Macaca mulatta: one gene and its partners. The protein of the gene in region 1 binds, or shares a complex with, the protein of each later gene. Links are inferred from orthologs where the notes say so. Each region holds a gene or a part of one and is shown on either strand. Other genes may lie near its edges.

Evidence for each region.
Region 2: ARVCF (region 1) and HNRNPH2 share a complex: the UniProt entries of both Homo sapiens proteins name them as parts of the ribonucleoprotein complex. The link is inferred for Macaca mulatta from reciprocal best matches to the Homo sapiens genes ARVCF and HNRNPH2.
Region 3: ARVCF (region 1) and SRSF1 share a complex: the UniProt entries of both Homo sapiens proteins name them as parts of the ribonucleoprotein complex. The link is inferred for Macaca mulatta from reciprocal best matches to the Homo sapiens genes ARVCF and SRSF1.

The regions. Positions count from the first base shown.
Region 1 is NC_133415.1:32,713,193-32,719,647, reverse strand, and holds part of ARVCF (splicing regulator ARVCF), read right to left. Parts: intron 6,175-6,455; coding exon 6,016-6,174; intron 5,823-6,015; coding exon 5,296-5,822; intron 4,456-5,295; coding exon of another isoform or gene 4,335-4,455; coding exon 3,835-4,334; intron 3,184-3,834; coding exon 3,000-3,183; intron 2,183-2,999; coding exon 2,065-2,182; intron 1,696-2,064; coding exon 1,524-1,695; intron 818-1,523; coding exon 800-817; intron 1-799. UniProt on the Homo sapiens protein: Contributes to the regulation of alternative splicing of pre-mRNAs.
Region 2 is NC_133426.1:108,300,942-108,307,525, reverse strand, and holds the end of HNRNPH2 (heterogeneous nuclear ribonucleoprotein H2), read right to left. Parts: intron 4,296-6,584; exon of another isoform or gene 4,275-4,295; 5' UTR 4,222-4,274; coding exon 2,872-4,221; 3' UTR 2,055-2,871; downstream 1-2,054. UniProt on the Homo sapiens protein: This protein is a component of the heterogeneous nuclear ribonucleoprotein (hnRNP) complexes which provide the substrate for the processing events that pre-mRNAs undergo before becoming functional, translatable mRNAs in the cytoplasm. Binds poly(RG).
Region 3 is NC_133421.1:51,980,671-51,987,845, reverse strand, and holds the start of SRSF1 (serine/arginine-rich splicing factor 1), read right to left. Parts: upstream 4,286-7,175; 5' UTR 4,083-4,285; coding exon 3,889-4,082; intron 3,481-3,888; coding exon 3,296-3,480; intron 2,929-3,295; coding exon 2,756-2,928; intron 2,573-2,755; exon of another isoform or gene 2,556-2,572; coding exon 2,361-2,555; 3' UTR 1,996-2,360; coding exon of another isoform or gene 1,957-1,995; 3' UTR 854-1,956; coding exon of another isoform or gene 791-853; 3' UTR 672-790; coding exon of another isoform or gene 604-671; 3' UTR 1-603. Other genes in the region: uncharacterized protein LOC144335563, read right to left, coding at 604-671, 791-853. UniProt on the Homo sapiens protein: Plays a role in preventing exon skipping, ensuring the accuracy of splicing and regulating alternative splicing.

The DNA of each region.
Region 1 (6,455 bases):
GAATGCAGCACCACTGTCAGAGTTTGGGCAGTTTAGGGGTAGGAGTTGGTGGCAATGGGGCCTGGGGACATCCCAGGACTCATCTCCCACCAGGTGCTGGAAGCTGTACCACAGACCCTCCCGGTGGCTTCCTTGCAACTGCCAGGTATGTAGACCGACGAAGCCAGGAGCCCTGGCTGGATGGCAGGTGGATACAAGCCGAGAAACTGAAGGCTGACCGGGACAAGACTCGCTTGGGTCACACAGTAAGGCAGAACTAGGGGGAAACTCCCCCAGTCTGGGGTCAGGACATTGTCCCAGGATCTACTAGCCAGGAGAAACCCCACAGCAGCCCACCTAACATTTGTGCAGCCCTGGTTTGCACACCTTTGTGACAGTGAGCCCACTGTCTCTCAGCCACACTCCCATCTCAGATGACACTTCTACCCCCTCACAAGGCAGCAGAGTGGAGCCAGATGACCTGAGGTCCCTGCCCTGCTCACCCTCACGGGACCCTTGTATCCCTTTGAGCCACATGCTGCCCCATTCTATCAGAGAAACAGACTGCTCCCTGGTGCCCCTAGAGACAAGTATCCCCGGGCCCTGCCCACTCTTGGCTCTGCCCGGCTCTGCCCAGGTAGGCAAGTCTGAGGTTATAAAATGAGCCCCTTGGCCTTCCCACCTGCCACTGTCATAAAGATGGCAGCCCGAGTGATGAAGCCAAGGGTGGGGCAGGGCCCTGGGGCTGGAATGTGCTTGCCTCTTCCCAGGTGCCCACTGCACATGCCAGGCCTGGAGAGCAGGATAAAAAGGGACTCACCTTGGTGGAACCACTCCTCTGGGCAGCCGGAGGAAGCAGAGGAGAGAGGAGAGGAGCCTGAGCAGGCAGCACTCATCACCCCCCCCCAATGCCCTCCCAGAGGCCTCAGGTTCCCACTGCACAGCCTGGATCAAGCAAGCAGCATGTGGAACCTCATCCCATCACTTCTGGGTGCTGAGCACCCACCAGTGGGACGAGGAGGAGGCCTAGGGTCAGTGGGGCAGGGGCAGGTGGTGCACAGGTCGCCCACAGCTGCTGGGGAGGTCCCGGGAACCTACACCCCGCTAGTGCGGTAGAGAAGGTGTGCAGGGCATCTTGCCCAGGCAGATGGGTGACTGCCCCACAGGTTGGACGCAGTCTACAGCTATTCTGTAAACAGTCAGCAGGCAGCAATAGCCATGGCTCTTTCTCAACTCATGGGCGAGTGGAACTCTCCCCGGAATAGAGACTGGGTCTGGGCATCAGTAGGACCACCAGGCTTCCCTTGTGTACTCCCTGCAGGTCCCACAGTGTAGATGGGGAAGGTTGGACCTGGGCCCCCAACCCTGGGCCCCGTCAACCATGTGACCCAGGGCAGCCCAGCCTCCTTGGCTCCCAGCTTCCCTGCCTGCCTGTTGGGGGCTGTGCAGATGTCCTCTGGCCTCCATGATGGGCTGCTGTGGGTGTACAGAGAGCCTTCAGCTGGGGCAGGAGTTGAGATGGTACCCCGGTCCGCCCCACCCACCTTTGGCCTTCTTGCCACCAAAGCAGCTGGCATCATCCCGCCTCCGGCGCTGGGAGACTACAGCACTGCCCAGGGGCCCGGGCTCGGCCTCCTGGTACCTATCGGCCCCGGGCACCTCCTTGTGCACGTGGTAGGACAGGTTCCGCATGATGCACACGCAGTTCTCCACCGACTGCAGGGAGAGGTGAGTGGCTGGGGCAGGGCACCCTAGGCACAGGGCCAGCCCTCAGGAAAGACTGGCCACAGGTGGTGTGCATGAAGGCACCAGGAGCAAAGGGACAGGGAGGCCTCAGTCGGGGGGACAAAAGGGCGGTAACCACCAGGGAGGGTCCATGGGAGGAAGCCCCTGCCTCATGGAGCATCTTCTGCCTGCAGGACAGTGCCTACTTCAGTGTGGTCACTGTGAGGCAGGCCATGCCCAGAACGCCGCCCCAGACCCACAAACCCATTCCCCTGTGCTGTTCCCACAGTTCCAGCCTCCCGGGACCTGCATGATCGTCTCTCCAGCCCTTGGTATGAGGCTGTGACCGTCCCTGCCCACCTTGTTGTCCGTGTCCTTCCGGCCCACTGCCGACTGCAGGGCATGCAGGAGCGCGTCCACCAGCCCTTCACACTCCCGGAGTCGCCGCCGGGCCTCAGCACCATCAGAGCTCACATTCCTGTGTGGCCAAGAGCAGGTCAGGTGACCCCTGGCTATCACAAACTCCCCAGCCCCACTCTGGCCTCATGGGCTTGTCTTCATCTGCAAAACAGGCCCTTGCTGCTGCCCTCCTAGCACTATTGGGAAAGGACGCCACAGCCTGGAGCTCAGCGAAGTGGGAGAAGCGAACTGCCCCCGGCCTCAGGAGGGGAGCCCTGGCAGACAGCTGTCTTGGCTGGGGATAGCTGGGCAGGGGAAGACAGGGCTTTCCTGCCTCCCAGCTGACCTAGAAAGGGACAGGTAGACTCAGAGAGACCTGAACCTATGCATAGGCAATTCTGGGTCCCTCGCCACCCCAATGGCAGCTCTAGGCCCCACCTTACCCCAAGGTCAAGAGCCTGCAGGGCTGCGGGGGAACACCCTGATGGACAAGCAAGACTGTGGGGACCCAGGACTCTGTGGAGTCAGCAGGGCTTCCCAGGGGTAGGAGGGGAAGGGCAGAGGTCACAGGTGGCTGGTATGAGCCTCCCAGGCAGATGAACAGGGAGGTCCCAGCTCCCCTCTGGCTGTCAAGTGATGGGAAGGTAGGTGAGAGCTAAGCAGGGCTATGGTACCACACAGACCCCTCCAGAGGGTGCCCCTGGGAAGACTAGGGCACCACTTGGGGGTGAGTACAGCCCCATCAGGCCCCACTTCTCATCCACAGGACTTGTGCCACAGCTCTGAAGCTCCCAGGCTCTGGTGCTCCTAAGCTTGCTGCCATCTTCCACACTATCTGGGACCACAAGGACAGGGCCTGGTGTGCTTGAGGCTTTAGCACCAGGCCTGGTCCACACCTCAGGCAGCCCGACGTATTCTTGAAGACAGTTGTCCACTCAGCATCCCGTGGCTTGGAGTCCTCGTTGGGCTCACGCTCCCATCCTGAGTGGGGCACGATCACCTCATGGGTCAGTGTCTGCAGGCCATGGTCAATGATGACCATCTTCAGGGGCTCATATGACGACAGGTTCCACAGTGTGCCTGTGGGGTGCGATTGGCCAACCCGTGCTGACCATATGCACCGCCCGCCTACCTCCCCAGGTGGCCACGCCCAGGACCTGTCCCACTCTCCTCATGTCCCAGCTCACACAGAACAGTAGGAAGTAACAAAAGCCGTGAGTGGTTCTGAGGGACACCAGTACTGGTTTCCAGCTAGGAAGGAACCCCAAAGGGGAGGAGGTGCAGAGAAGGGTGTGGCAGTACTGTCCCGTCCCACCCATTCCCTGCCACACGGCAGGTGGCACTAACACTCCTGAGGCCACAGGGCCTCACAGAGACACGGTCAGGTGACCCTACCTGTCCCTCAGGTCCCACAAGGCACAAGCCCCACCACTGCACTGTTGGGGTGGGAACCAAGGAGGCAGGTCCCAGGGGAGTTTCTGTGGGGGCAGGAGGTGAGGGGACATGCCTGAGGGGCCCACTGTCTGCCTCCTGCCTATGGTAGAGACTGGGGAGCCTGTCACAGCATCTGGGCCTGATGACTGGCTCCTGGGGCAAGCGTCTCAGTGGCTGCACTCCTGCCCACCGGGCACTCTCCCAGGCGGTCGCAGGCCGTGTGGCCTCGTTCCTCCCGTGCTGAGCCTCGCACTCTTCTCTTCCCAGGGGATGTGGGCATGGCCAGGTCCCACTCACCAGTGACAAGCTCGCGGACCTCGTTGTCCCGGGCGGCCCGCAGCAGGCGCACCAGGGCAGGCACACCACCACAGTCCCGGATGGCGGCCTTGTTGTCAGTGTCACGGCCATAGGAGAGGTTGCGCAGTGCCCCACAGGCCCGGCGCCGCACCTCAGCCCGCGGGTGGTCCAGCAGCGCCACAAGCAGTGGCAGCCCCCGCAGCTGCCGTACACGCCGCTTGACACCCTCGTTCTCAAAGCACAGATGTTGCAGGTAGGCGGCCGCATTGGCCTTCACGGGGTCCACGGGGTGCCGCAGCATGGCCAGCACCTCAGGCAGCTCAGGGTCCCGCCAGCGCGGCTCCTTGCGGGCGCTATCCACTGAGGGCGAGCGCCGCACCAGCCGGTCCAGGCTGCCCAGGCTGCCCCGTTCAGGCTGGGCCAGGGGCGCCGTCACCGCTGGGAACGCAGGCCGTTCATCTGTCAGCTCGCCGCCATCAACTGCCGCGTCCTCGTAGGCCCTGCACAGGCAAGTGGGGTGCGTGGACATCGTCACAGCAGCCGCCAGCCCCACCTCTGAGCTGCCCCATGACACGTTCTTCAGGACTGCAAACTCACCCAGCAGGGCTGGGCTGAGAGCACCTGCATCTCCGCCCGAAGCATGGTGGGGACACAGAGAGTCATGCACCAGCCCAGTGAGAACCAATTCATAGCCAAATGCCAAACCCCAGCCAGAGGCTATCAGGACCCAGGCAACCCTCCCAGGACAGCAAGCTCACTCACTGCTGTCACCAGGCAGTGTTCCCCGATCCCAAGCAAAACATGTTTCTGTGCGATATGTGCTAGGGCTGCTGGAGAGACCCACCTCCCTTCCACGAAACCACCCCATCTTCCATGAGGCCCATCTCTGGCTGTGTCAGGATGGAGAGGGGGTAGATGGCTCTCTCCACATGAAGCCATCCCAGTAGGACCACCCGAGGGGTGTTCAGGCCACCAGGCCCTTGGGGCACAAGATCTCCTTAACTCTCAGTAGCCCTGTGGGTTGCTGTCATCAAACCCACTGCCCTGAGGCTAGGAGTGGTCAGGTGACTTGGCCAGGGTCACACAACAGAATCCAGACCCGGGCTGTGGTCACGTCCCCACTCCAGAGATGCAGAAACTGAGGGCAATGGGGACAGAATCATGGGCTGTGACAAGGGCCAGGGCTCTGGGTTCTGGTTACCCAGAGTGTGGATGAGCAAGGCCGGTGGTCGGCACTCTTCCCAGCTTTTCCTAGGCCCTGGGCCTGCAGGATGGTGTCCAGCCGAACTCCTACCACCCCAGGGTCCACCTTTCTTCTCTCCCTGACAAGAGCCAAGGCCAATTCAAACTAACGTACATGACTAACTCAACTGCAGCCACTTGACAAGTGGGGCACTCTGTAGTTGGGTGGAGGGTGGACTTCCCAGAGGAGGTAGCCACAGGGAACGGGGTGCAGCTCACCTGGTGTGAAGGCCCCGCCCACACTCAGGCCTCCTCCTCGTGGCCGTGCCATAGTCAGGCTCCAGCTCAGGGCCACCCTCGTCATCAGCGGCCAGGCTGCGCGTGTCATCCTCCAAGCCATACGGCTCTGCCTGGAAGCGCTCGGGCAGGGAGCGGCCACCTGGTGGCCCAGGCTCAGGACCCACTGAGAAGGCCTCCCGGTGGCCAGGCAGTGTGAAGCAGCCATCACCAGGGCCTGGGCCAAGGGGGCCAGCACGTGGGGGCCGCACACCCAGCCCTCGGGACAGGCTGCCATAGCTGGAACTGTCCCGGAGCTCGGGGCCTTCGGGAAAGCCAGCCCCGCTGCTGAGGTAGGCTCGAGAGAGTGTGGCCGCCGGGCCACCACCACGCAGCAGGAAATGCCGGTCCAGGGCACCATCGGCAAAAGGGCCTAGTGGGGGGCCGCCATCCAGCAGGGGGAGTCCGTCTGGGCCCAGAGGCACCTGGCGTACTGTCCGAGTGGTCACCGTCTTGACAGTCTTGGTGACCTGGTAGATGAATAGGCAGGTAGGTGGGGTAGCCCGAGAGGCCTAGAAACTGCTTTGTTGGGGCCTGGCTGGCCTTAATTTCCCACTCGAGCAATGAGGCCCCCGGTGGCAAGCTTCCATGTCCACTCTGCAGGTGAGACAGCTGCAGCAGCCTGGCCCTGCTCACCTACCCACTGCCTGGGCCCGTCCATACCTTGGTCTCGGTGCGCCGGGTCGTGCCATCTTCAGATGTGACAATAGACACGTGGGAAGTGGGTGTGCCGGGGTCCTCCTCCACCGTCACGGTCTCCTCCAGCACATCAGGCGCCTCCGGCATCGTGGCCAGTGAGGCCTGGCTGCCTGGGCTCTGCTCCTGGGGCAAGGAGGGGCACTGGTGGGCAGGCCTGCTGCTCAATCATCCCTGGAGTGCAGGTCCCCACGCACAGCAGCTCTGCCTCAGCTCGTGCTGGCCAGCACACCAGGGTGCCTTCCTCCTGGTCCTAAACCCACCCACCCCAGGGCCTGTCTCGGCCCAAGCTAGTAAGGACAGCAATAAGTTCTTGCCCTCTGAACATCAAGGTGCTAACCCTGCCCTGGCACCCCATCCTGGGGTGACCCTGGGGCTGGACCCCCATCCCACGCCTCCTCAGGCTG
Region 2 (6,584 bases), on another chromosome or scaffold:
CTGATTCAGTCGTTGGGGGAAAGGGGGTGGGGCGGGGGGGCAAAAAATAATCTGCATATCTCACAAGGTGGAGGTTCATGCTGTTACTGATTGGGCACCACACCCAGAGAACCACTGGCACAAGCCATCCGATACTCTTAGGCCGTGATAATTGTGGCTGCAAATTTTCTGCCTGATCCTGCCAAATAGCTCACACACGCAGTTGAAAATAAATCCTCTGACTCAGTGTTTGGGGGGTGTTGTGGGTGGGCTGCCCACTCTACCTCCCGGCACTTTCCTGGGTAGTAGTGTTAGATGTGAGTGTTGGAGCACGTGTGGTGGTGTGTGTGCATGCGTGTGCACACCAGCTATACTGCTGTCCCTTTGGAACCTCTAGTGCTGACCACTGACCTTCTCCAGGTTCTCTCCTTTGCTCCCCAGAGCCCTTCTGAATTTTCTTATCCAGCGAAGAAGAGTAAGTGAACATTTAAGATCACAAGGAGCCCTCCATTGTCTCCTGGGATTTGGTGCCATCTAGTGGCTAACTTGAGAATCTTTGCTCAGACTTAGAGAAACTTCTGGAAAATTAACTAAGTAGCCTGGGAAGGCAAAAACACCTACTTGTTTACCCTCTGAGAAAGGCTTCCTGGACAAGGACTGGCTCAACATGATAGGAGTCAAAATGGGTTTCTTGCTCTCCTGAAAGCTGTGATAAAAATTAGAAGTCATCAAAGAATTTCAATCACGTCCCACTGCATCTTCAGCTTGAATGATTTTCCAGAATTGATTTTCATTTCCTGAATGAAATGGAGTCAGGTAATACCAACTTGGTATTTGCCTCCCATCTCATTTCTCTGGGTCCCAAGCTCTGAACAGCCCAAGTATAGCAATACAGTTCCCAAGGGGTCAGTGAAACTACAAAGAGATCTGTAGTTCAAGATACAGTTGGTACTGATCAGAGGGACATTGGGGTCTTAAAGTCATTGAGGGGTGGAATTGTTAATGACCACTGTGATCCAGACAAAAATCTAAGACATCAGCACACAATGCCACAGGTGCTCAGAATCCTCATGAGAGGTGCAAGGTATTGTAAACATGTGGTTTGGACTTTAATAGAAAACTTAAACTACTTGTTATGGGAACAAAGGGGAGGCGATCAGGGATCATAAAGGAAGCTGCTCCTTAAAGTTGTTTGGGGAACTGTGATGGGTCTCAAAACATGGTCTTGAGACCAGCAGTATCAGCACATTCTCAAGCAACATCCCAAAACTACTGAACTGTAAACTCTAGGGATGGGGCCTAGAAATGAATGTTTAAACAACCCCTGCAGATGATTCTGATGCACATGAAAAGTTTGAGAACGCTGGTTTAAGATAAGCTTTAGATGCCCTAAAATACACCTGAGAGTGTTTAGAGAATCTCCTAATGAATTCATGGAGGAGACAATTTATTTCCTTAACATAAGCCTGCTTCTTTTTTATGTTTTGTTTTTGACACATAATTGTAAGCCTACTTCTTTTTTAACATACAAAGGTGCCTTCTAGTTTGTGATGAAATACAAAGGATTATTTATTCGCTTTCACTTCTTTGGATTTTAGAGAATACTATCTTGGTAAGTGGCTCCAAAAGTAGCTCAATAGTCCTGTAGACATGGTAAGTTTTTTTAAAAAAGAAGAAAATGTTCAACTTTAATATTAATCAAAAAAATACAAATTAAAATTGCAATGAGATATCATTTCTCAACTAACAGACTGGCAAAGATCACAAAGAATAATGTGCATCAATAAGGAGGGCATAAGGGGGAAAATAAAGCACACACTCCAGGTAAAAAGATAAAGTACCAGAATCTTGCTGGTAACACAAATCAGAAGCCTTAAAAATGAGTGTATCTTTGACTCAGCAATCCCATTTCTAGGGATATATCTTAGAAATAATTAATGATATATGCAACAATGAACATATAAAGATGCTAAATATATTGTTTATAATTTTAAAATTAAAAATTTTAATTTTGAGGGAATTATAAAGTCAATCAGCGTGCCCATATGACAGAACATAATAAAAATCAATCAGCACAAGATTTTTTCCAGTTTTTAAAAGGAAGATTTATTTAACAAGTTTCACTTAGTACAATACATCTAAATGGAAATCACAATACAAGGAAAGATTTAAACCAAAGCCTCAGAATTTCATACAAACAACACGACCAAACTTCTAAAGTATTGGTATTACATCTTAAAATTGTCCCGTATCCTTCAAAAAAAAAAAAAAAAAAAAAAAAAAAGTGTACACTCACGTGCCTTACAGGATATTAAACCAAAAAGCTAGAATTAACAAACATGCCAAATGTTTTCACTTTGAATCGTAGACACAGCTCCTATATTTGAGTTTTACAGAAAAGCATGTTTCTCAACATGCATCCGAAGTTTTCAATGTATTTGTGGTATAAGAGCAACATTTAACATAAGTGAAACTGCATTAACCTAAATACGCTTACTGCTTAGGTACACTCCTACAACATAACTAACTTGAGGAAAGCTAAAAATTGTTTTAACAGTTATGGTCAATACTGAACTTTGTTATTATGTCCTAGATGAATGTTTCAGTGTTCAAAATTACTGAGCTTGAAGTTTTAAAATAATCTCAACTTCCACTTTACAGTAAGCATGAATCACAAGCCTGTAATGCAAAACTGTTAAACTTAACTCTTGTTTTCTTAAAAAAGGAGAAAGAAAGATAAAGAAAGAGAAGCTGACCAAGAGTGATCAGAATCAATTATATTTCCCATTTACCAATCATACTGGATATACTAGACATCCCTCCCATTCTATTCAACTCCCACAAATGTACAGCTTTTATATATGGAGTAGCTGTTTGGTGCTCCTTCTCTACCTAAGCAAGGTTTGACTGATAGTCACTGGAATTTTCCTGCAGAACTTGGTCATATCCACTCATACTGCTCTGACCACCATAACCACCTCCATAACCACCACTCAGCTGCTGGCTAGCAGGACCTCCATAACTAGACTGGTTGGATAAGCCCATCCCTCCCATCATTTGGCTACCATAAGCCCCACCACTTGCCCCTGCTGTAGAATTCAAAAAAAGTTCTACATAGCTGTGATCGTAAGCACCCCCACTTGTTCCTGCAGTAGAATTTAAGAAGAGCTCCACATATCTATGTTGCATATTAGCTTTGTCTTTTGCCATAGCTGCCACAGCATCTTCATGAGTAGCAAATTCAACATCTGCCTCACCAGTAACTCTGCCATCGGGTCCAATTTCAATATGTACTCTCATGGGATTAAGAGGTGAGAAGAAATTATAAATATCATTCTCAGTGGCTCTGTAAGGTAACCCCCTCATGTGTACACAGTGCCCTGTGGTGCTCTGGAAACTGGACCCACCATCTCCATATCTATGATCAGACATTCCTGAAAAACAGTAATTGAGGTCTCTTCCAAATCTATCAGACCCAAAGCCATATCCATCATTATAGCCACCATAGTCATCATAGCCTCCATACCCTCCACCGTAGGCACCACGCCTCATCCTTTCAAACCCAGCTCCTCTGCCAATGCTATTATACCCTCTGCCAGCCCCCGGCCTATCATAGGGACCTGGCCGCTGCATAGCCATGAGCTTTCGAGGGGGATCATAGTGGGTTCGAACTTCAGCTCGGCTACTCTTGAAGATCTCAATGTACCTGTGCCCTATTCTTTCCTTGTGTTTCTTTAAGGCCTTCTCAGCTATCTCCTGCGAAGCAAACTGCACAAAGGCTTCCCCTGTGCTTCGCCCCTGAAAGTCCACTGGCAGTGTCATCCCATTTGGCACAATTTCCAACCCTGAAAAGAACTGAACAATCTCTTCCTTGCTACAGCCAAATGGGAGTCCTCTAAGCCGGACGAAGCCATCGTTGGCAGTATCAGGGCTATTCGGACCTGTATGCTTCAACACCCAATCCATTTCAACACTGTTAGACTTGAATACTTCAACGTATCTGTGTCCCATGGTTTCTCTGTCCTTCTTCAAAGCCAATTTCACTTCCTCTTCAGATTCAAGTTCAACAAATGCTTCACCACTTGGTCTGCCTTCTCTGGTGTAGATGAAACGAATACCTGATGTGCCATTTTGGATCTTGCAATCAGAGAAGAAGCGCATCACTTCATCGGCTGAGCAGGACCAGGGTAGGCCCCTGACCTTCACCACGAACCCCTCCCTGCCTTCCGTGCTCAGCATCATGGTGACTGTTGGGCTCTTGGTGGCAAGTTTGGCTCAATGCAATTTTAGTGTAGCTGAAAAAAAAAATTAGAAGACTACTGTCATGGAAAAATGCCCGTGATATAGTAAGATAAAAAAGCAAACTATTAATAGAAAATTCAACTATGCTGACAGCTTTTCTGTAAGATGTCTGTATAAACAAAGAGTTCACCAAATTTTTAACTCATTCATTTTTTAAGTTATTTATTCAATGCCTATTACATGTTGGATACCATTAAAAATTAATAGCAATCGGCCGGGTGTGGTGGCTCACGCCTGTAATCCCAGCACTTTGGGAGGCTGAGGCGGGTGTACCACCTGAGGTCAGTAGTACCACCTGAGGTCAGGCGGGTGTACCACCTAGAGGTCAGAGACCAGCCTGGCCAACATGGTGAAACCCTGTCTCTACTAAAAATACAAAAAATTGGCTGGGCGTGGTGGCAGGCGCCTGTAATCCCAGCTACTTGGGAGGCTGAGGCAGGAAAACCACTTTTATGTACCCAGGAGGTGGAGGTGAGCCGAGATCACGCCACTGCACTCCAGCATGGGCCACCAGAGCGAAACTAAGTCTCAAAAAATAAATAAATAAATAAAATAACATCAACAAATCAGTGGGATAGGTCAACAAATAAAAGATAGCTATATCTGAATATACACACATAAAAAACTTCACTAGATCAAAAGATTAAACAACAATTAAAACATTAAAACACAAACAAAACACAGGTTATATACGTTCTTTATATAATCTCCTTATATACAAATGTATGCAAATCAATAAAATCAGGGAAATATTTGGGCTTCAGAGATAAATGAAAAAAAGACATTATTGGGAATTCACACATTCATTTTAGAAATATTTTTTAGTTGCCATGTCCAATACTCAGCTCTGGCATACAAGAATCAATAAGCCCAGAAAGGGCTTATGATCCTACAGGAGCACCAAATATCATTATTAAAGATGTAAATGCAAATATACATTATACTTGCCATGACCCTCTGGGTGGGGTATAAGCATAGTATCAAGGAGGGACTAGTTGATCAGTTCTATTGGTTGGAGGTCAAATGGTTAAATGAAACAGACTAACCTGCCCAGGGATCCATAAACGATTTTTTAAAATTATGATAAAGCACAAATAGGAGAGGGAAAAGCAAGAGAAAAGGCTGGCAAGGCATAGATCAGATCCCAAAGACTTTTATGCAGTGCTTAGTTAAGACTGCATAAAAAAACTGGAAAAATAACATGGAAAATCCATAAACCTACCACTCAGAGTAACCACTAATATGTTCATTCTAACTTAAAAAAATCCCAGTGCAGCAAATTTAAAGAATTAAAACTGTATAGAAGTATATACACACTATATACACTAAGCACCTTTTAAGACTTTTAAACCGGGGAGTTTGTGGGGTGACTTCACCAAAACTCTTTCAGACAGATCACCCCGGCAACAGTGTGGTACTCAGAGGTGGAACTAGGGAGATTAGTTAGAACTTGTCTCTTAAATATACGTTAAAGGAATCGCCTAAGGCAACAGGAGTAAAATGGAGAAAAGCTATATCTACACATACCAAAAAAAGTGGAATCTGCGGGACTTGATAACAGATTAAGTATGAGAGAATACAGGTATAGGAGGATACAGGAGAGCAATCTGGGAAATGTTCAAATTTAATCAATCTTCCAGTAAGTTAAAACCAGAACTAATCATTATTTTTCACCCATCAAGATTATGGAAATTAAACGGTGACAGTAAATCAGTGCTATGCAGAGTTCACAAACTAATAATACACTACTAGAGGAGTGGTAATTGATATAAACTATTTCCTTTTTGATAAATCCCACTATATCCTGAAAGCAATTTGATAATATGTATCACGCCTTTTGACAGCAAATACATTTCAGTTATGTGCCCTAAGGAGATGATCTGAAATTCAGACAAAGATTTATGGAGCTATATATTCTTTGAAAAGTACTTTATTAAGAAAACTGGAATATTATGCATTTAATTTTAAAAGTTACAAAAATATTTAATAACATGAGAAATTACTTATGCTATAATTATAAGTGACCCAAGAGCACAGCTGCTTTACAATCTCAACTATGTACAAAATACATATTCCCATACCCTTTGACACTGCTAGAATCCTTCCAGGAATCTAGTCAACAGAAATACTTAGGAATGTTCCTTGCAGCACTGTTAGTAAAGGCAGAACATTGGAAAGCTAAATAGCCATCATTAGAGGAATGGCTGAATGAATTATACCTTATCCTTAAAATGGAATGCAATGCAGCCATTTAAAAAAAAATCTATCTGCCTTGACCCAGAAAGATCTCCAAAATACACTAA
Region 3 (7,175 bases), on another chromosome or scaffold:
TTTAATACTTACCTTTTTTTGAGATGGGTTTCATTGAAAATATCAAAAGCTATCTCCAAGTGAACATTAATTTACTAGCCATCAACCAACTTTGCACAAAAGCCTATGTTGTCTATGACCACCAGAAAATAAGCAGCATCTACAGTTTTTTAACCAATTTATAACAAAGTAGAGAAGCTTATCTTTCAGATGCTAGATCCAACCCCCCACCGTCATTTACCAAGTTACATACACAAATGCCTTATTCTCCCCTTTTGCCTTCCCCTGAAGACTTTTACAATTAACAATAAAAGATGGCTAATACCATTATAGTGCCTTTTAAGAACTTTTAATTTGCTAACACATTAATACAAGAGTCAAAATCTTATCTTACTTAACAATTTAAAGATTAACTGATAGACCCAGTTAGAATCTTACATGAAGAGGAAAAAGGACAACCATGCATAGTTTTTTAAAAAATGTTTATTTTTTCAAAGAAAAACGGCAATAGCCAATTGGAAACCTACTTATTCTTCAACTCCAATTTTGTTTTCTTTAAATTTAGAAGTGACTTACTGATTTACTATTTTAAACAAACCCCCCCTTTCCCCTTTAAATGTTTACCATCTACTCGTGCTGAATCCTTCCAAGGAGATTGCTCCAGCGTTTATCTCCAGGTCCTCGCTTTGCTCCTTTTACCAAAAAACGCAAAACACAATTCCATCGTGCATCTTAAGGGCTCCAATCGTCAAAAATAGGAAAAAAAAAAATCTTTGGAATAGCCAATTAAGTTGAATAAAAAAATCCACACGAATGCGGTTTGGTTGGGGCAGGAATCCACTCCTATGTTCCTGGTAATCTGATCCCGCTCCATGAATCCTGGTAATTCATCCTCCCTATCCTATCCACATTATGATTTGAATCCAATGATCCAGCTCCAAGGATTGGGATCCAGTGAGCCCTCTCCAATCCAAACCTTTATAACCAGCAAAACCAAAAAAGAGGAGGCAAAATGTTAGATACTGTAATCAAAAAAGGTTTCTGGGGAATGATGAGTTATGTCTGTCATCAGTTTAACAGATGCACATCAATAACTATCAAATTCCCCAAAACAAGTTTCTGAATGGTGTTCAGATAAATTTTAGAAACTTAATCATCATAGAGACTAATTGGAAGAAGCATTTTGTATTTACAGTTCAACTGATAATGCCAACACTTGTTACTGTACAGCGTATTACAGGTTTCGTGGTTGCAAGAAGTTACGTAATTTAAGTTTACTGGCATTGCTACCCACCTAAGTCTAAAACTATATCTAATGCTCCCATTTGCAATTTAATTTGTAAATTAAAGTCTTTTAAACATATGAATCAATTATGAATATTAGTTTAAAGGGGAAGGTGAGACTTAAAAGTATTCCCAACTAGATTATCTACACCAATACATTGGAACTCTATATTTTGCTTTCATTTTGTCTTAAAAAAATGAAATAGCAACGCTCTATCAGTCACACAGAGGACATGCAGATTTAGCAGTATTGATATTATACTCTATCTTGTTGGATTTAAAGACACCCTGTACCCACATGTACACCAACAGCAGGTCACACATTAACAGTTGTAACTAAGCACTGTGACAAATTAGCCAGTTCTTCCCACATTAGTCCCTATTAAAACAAAAATGGGGGGAAGGGAGCAAAATAAGTTGCTACAAAATGGGCAATATAATTTTGCCACAATTGCCAAGGTTTAAAGAGCAAAGCAATTGTAGCTAAAGATAACTGAATAAAATGTTTGCAAGTGTTTTAAGGAAAACGTATATAATCATTTTTAACCCCTGCCTTTTAGTATAAGGTCAATACTGCCAATTTCATCTGTGACAATAGCACTTGGAGTCATACCATTGCCTCCATTATTGATCTGATCCTCCTCAATCCTCCTTTTGACAATCCTAAAATGATTGAAATGTGCTCCACAATCCTTAATCCAAAGCATTCTTAATCCATCTCTTCAGATATGTCTACAGAAAGACACATGAAAAGCAAGATAAACATAAGAACTTCCCCAGGTAAGATAACCACAAACACCCCCAACATCCCAGTTCACACAAACCAGGGCAGAATAGACATTTACACAATATCACAGTCTGAAGAGTATGGAGTTAACTAAATTTAAACAATCCTGTCTATGACATCACTTAAAATACAATTTATCGAAGACACGAGGGGAATGTAGATGTTAGGAGCAAGGGGATATTACAAGAATGCAATTCAACACTTTAGCCCATTCTGAACAAAACAGTTTGAATTAAAAAATGAAAAGATTGTACTGAATAAAGGAAAACTGTATACAACATGGGTTCTACAAAAAGTGTCACCAATCATCTTATGTACGAGAGCGAGATCTGCTATGACGGGGAGAATAGCGTGGTGATCCTCTGCTTCTCCTTGGGGAGTAACTGCGACTCCTGCTGTTGCTTCTGCTACGGCTTCTGCTACGACTACGGCTTCGAGATCGAGATCTTCCATAACTTGGACTTCTGGGCCCATCAACTTTAACCCGGATGTAGGCAGTTTCTCCCTATTGGATAGACAGAACTTTCCATTGAAAGATCTAAGCTTTCATCTATCTTCAGGCATGCTGAATGCATACAATGCAACTACAACCAGAAATCTGGCAATTTACTTGGACACCCTTGCCTGAATTCTTACCTTCAAATTCCACTGTTAAGACCACTGTATCCAATTCTGGTCAAAGAAAAGAATAAGCGTATAACCTACCTCATGAGATCTAAACTTAGTGTTATCCAGTTTTCGAACTGCATAGGTCATATCTTCTTTCCGTACAAACTCCACGACACCAGTGCCATCTCGGTAAACATCAGCATAACATACATCACCTGCTTCACGCATGTGATCCTTTAAATCCTGCCAACTTCCACTTGGAGGCAGTCCTGAAAAAGTGATTTTTTTTCTTAGTATCAATTATCTTAAATTTCACGTTAAGCTGGTAAGGTACATTAGAACAAAGAGTACTTTAAAATACTTAATAGGTGTACTTAAGTGATACCAGGTAAAGAGCTGGTAAGATTCTGGGATCCAGAGTCCAAAATTATTTGTAACGGATCTTCGTATCTAGTACCGCAACCTAATTTGGTAAATCACCACAGCAGCAATCCTCGTTTATTAAATTCACCCAAAAACTAAAGCAATTTAAGACCTAGCATGAAAAATTTGCAATTGTTAAACCGATCATGCAAGACAAAAATTTTAGGTAGCTTCCGTCCCTTCACATCAATCCACACAACCAAGTACACTCACCAGAGACAACCACTCTGTTTTCAGACCGCCTGGATGGGGGGCCATAGCGACCTCGGGGAGCTCCGCCACCTCCACCCCCGCCGCCGCCTCGGCCTGTTCCACGGCCGCTTCGAGGAAACTCCACCCGCAGACGGTACCCATCGTAATCATAGCCGTCGCGACCATACACCGCGTCTTCCGCGTCTCTGCGGGATCGCAGAAAGTAAAAGGCATGAGAAAGACCAGGAGGAGAAGCTCGCTCAGTCGGGAACCCCCCGCACATGCGCACCCAACGTGGAAGAGCCCACATGCGCCGCATAATAGGAATGGCCCCTCCCCCACCCAGAAACACGCCAGGCTCCCAACCACTACACCAGCCCTCAGCGCCTCAGTTTCCCGCTCCAGCCTGCGAATGGGCTCCGGGGACGTCCAAGGCGAGGCGCCAGAGAAGCCACACCAACTCAGCTCCTTACTCGACTCCTGCATGGGCGATACAGTCTCGCCCCAACCTCTCTAAGAGCCCCCGCTTCCCCGTTCTCTATGTTAAGGCCTTGGAGCCTTCCCCGACTACTCGGACCTATTTCCTCAAGGCTGCAAGCCCCATGCCGCCTCACCGCGGGTCCTCGAACTCAACGAAGGCGAAGGGCGGTCCCCCGCGGCGATTCTTGAGGTCGATGTCGCGGATAGCGCCGTATTTGTAGAACACGTCCTCAATGTCCTTGGTTCGGATGTCTGGAGGTAAGTTACCCACGTAGATGCGGCAATCGTTGTTCCCTGCGGGGCCACGAATCACACCACCTCCCGACATGGCGGTGACGAAAAGCGCGGACTCGAGAACAGGCCTTCCCACCAAGCCTAGCGCACCGCAGAGCGAGCCCGCAGCGGCACCACGTCTCCCGCGGCCCCTCCAAAATGGCGCCTTTATCAGCTCGGCGCACGGATATGGGGGGGAGACAGAGGAAGAGAAGCGGAAGGAAACAGCGATTCGATCCCAACACGCACGCGCGGGAGCGCAACGGGTGCTGCGAGGGATACGCGCAACGCACGCGCACGCACGCGCGACGTCACCCTCCGCACGAAGGGGGAAAAAAAGTCCCCCGCGTTCCCCGCTTGGGGTGGTTTGCGAATAGAGTGAGCAGCCGTTTGGTAAAAGTTAAATAAAGAACTCTCGTTAAAGGAGCTAGTCATCCAGGTCGAGTCTTGAAGGATAGTCAATTTCCCCAGGAATGAGGAGCTTTGAAAGCAACTCGGCGCCTTCAAAGGACTTGGTGAAACCTAGCCTAAAGCCTTGTCCCACCATGCTCTGCGGCGATAACGGCCTTTGGCGGGAAAGAGACTCGGAGGCGGGGCTAAAGGGGGAGGGCTCGGGCCGTTGCTCCGGAAACCCGGGTATCTTCGTAGAGTGCGTCTAGTCCAGAGCTGAGTTGCCGGTGACTGAATAGAGAGCTGGGGCGTTGGTTTGTCTTCCCGCCCCTGCTGCGAACAAGCTGTGGCTGCTTAGACAGATGTGTCTAATTTAGCGAAACCGGTTTAGATTCCTTAATCCTTTTCATTAAGAACCATTCCACCTTCTCGTCAGAACTTTGCATAGCTCAGTTCAGCACTCTTTGTGCTAGTCGCAGTGGGCCCGTACCCCGACCTTTCAACGTGGTACCCGCCAACCAGAAGGGGTAACAGTACTGCTTCTGGTACCCACACCTCTTTATCTCTTGTTAATCGCCTATCCGTGGGACTAGCGCAGATTGCCTGCAGAATGAATTGTTTCTGTTGTTTCCTTTTAAAGAACGAGAAGGAAGAAAAGGTGCGTGTGTGCAGTCCTTTTTTCAAAAGTTTCCTCTAAAAGTTACTGAAATTGAAAATACCGGTCCTCCCAGGTAATAAAATGGACCGAAATGGATGAGAGCCGTGTCCACTAGAGACCGCGGTTGCTATTCAGGACTGTGATCTTATTTGCCTGCGACATTGGGAGATAACATTTTACATTTTTTTTCGACGTCTGCAATCTGGATTTTTATGTGAAATCCTGGGATTTTTAAACGTCGCTAATGAATTCAAATTAAAATTAGGCTGGGCGCGGTGGCTCACGCCAGCACTTTGGGAGGTAGAGGCGGCAGATCACTTGAGGTCAGGAGTTCGAGACCAGCCTGGCCAACATGGTGAAATCCCGTCTCTACTGAAAAAAAAAAAATTAGCCGGGCTTGGTGGCGGGCGCCTGTAATCCAGCCTACTCGGGAGGCTGAGGCAGGAGAATCGCTAGAACCCTGGAGGTGGAGGTTGCAGTGAGCCGAGATCGCGCCATTGCGCTGCAGCCTGGGCTACAGAGTAAGACTCCTCCTAAAAAAAAAAAAAAAAAAAAAAAAAAAAAAAGGAGGGGGAAACAACAACAAAATCAAATCCTGCAGTCATAAATTTGCGATAACAGATCTACACCGTGAATTTCAGGGATAATGTTCTTCATGTTATTTACAGCAGTCCCTCTCCGCAAGGATGTGAGGCAATTTACAGAGATACCATAAAACATTATTAAAAGTAGATGAGGCTGGGCGTGGTGGCTCACTCCTGTAATCTCAGCACTTTGGGAGGCCGAGGCGGGCGGATCACCTGAGGTAAGGAGTTTGAGACCAACATGTCGAAACCCGTCTCTTCTAAAAATACAAAACATTAGCCGGGCATGGTGGCCCATGCCTGTAATCCCAGCTACTCGGAAGGGTGAGACAGGACAATCTCTTGAACCCTTAGGAGGTGGAGGCTGTAGTGAGCGGAGATCATGCCACTGCACTCCAGCCTGGGCGACAGAACAAGACTCCATCTCACACACACACAAAAAAAAACTAGAGGAATGGGAAAATAAGGGGTGGATTAAATGAAATAAGCATAAATTACTATACAAAATGCCTGCAGTGAAAGCCTGTTGAATTTGTTGAGATAGACTGCAAATTTTACTTTAGTCTTCGCAGAAGTCGCGGTAAAGAAGGGTACACCAGTATTGTGTATTCAAAATCCAAAGTGCCTTTGGGATAAAAATAAATAGGTCATTCAGGAGAAGGACATGTTTTCTTAATTCTAAAAGCTGATGAAATGTATTTTACAAATGTCTCTCGGTGACCCCAAAATACATACTCAATTTGAAATGAGCAGGGATGCTTGGTCTTGTGCCTGAAGATCCTCAGTATATCCACAGATGACCTTTGGTAATCCTTGAGCTTTCTGTAATGTTTTCCAAAATTATATGCATGTATGCATGTACAAAATTATATGCATGTGCGTACTTTTTTCTGGGAAGAGGATTTGAAATTTTAATCAACTTCTTAAAGGAGTCCATAGATCCCAAAAGGGAAAAGAACTTCTGAAAATTGTCAAGGGAGGGATAGATTGCCTATCCTTCAGACCATCCTTCAAGTATATATATAGGGGTGTGTGTGTGTGTGTGTGTGTGTGTGTGTGTGTGTGTGTATATATATATATTTTTTTTTTTTTTGAGACAGAGTTGCCCTCTGTCACCCAGGCTGGAGTGCAATGGCGTGATCTCAGCTCAGTGCAACCTCTGCTTCCCTGACTCAAGCCATTCTTGTGCCTTGGCCTTCTGCGTAGCTGGAATTACAGACATATGCCACCATGCCTAGCTAATTTTTGTATTTTTAGTAGAGACGGGGTTTCGTCATGTTGGCCATGCTGGTCTCGAACTCCTGGTCTCAAGTGATCCTTTGGCCTTGGCCTCCCAAAGTAGTGGGATTACAGGCATGAGCTCCCGCACCCGGCCAATTTTTTTCTTTGAGACAGGGTCTTGCTCTGTCACTCAGGCTGGAGTGCAGTGGTGCAATCACAGCTCACTGCAGCCTCGACCTCCTGGACCCAAGCCATCCTCCCACCTCAGTCTCCTACGTAGCTGAGACTACATGTA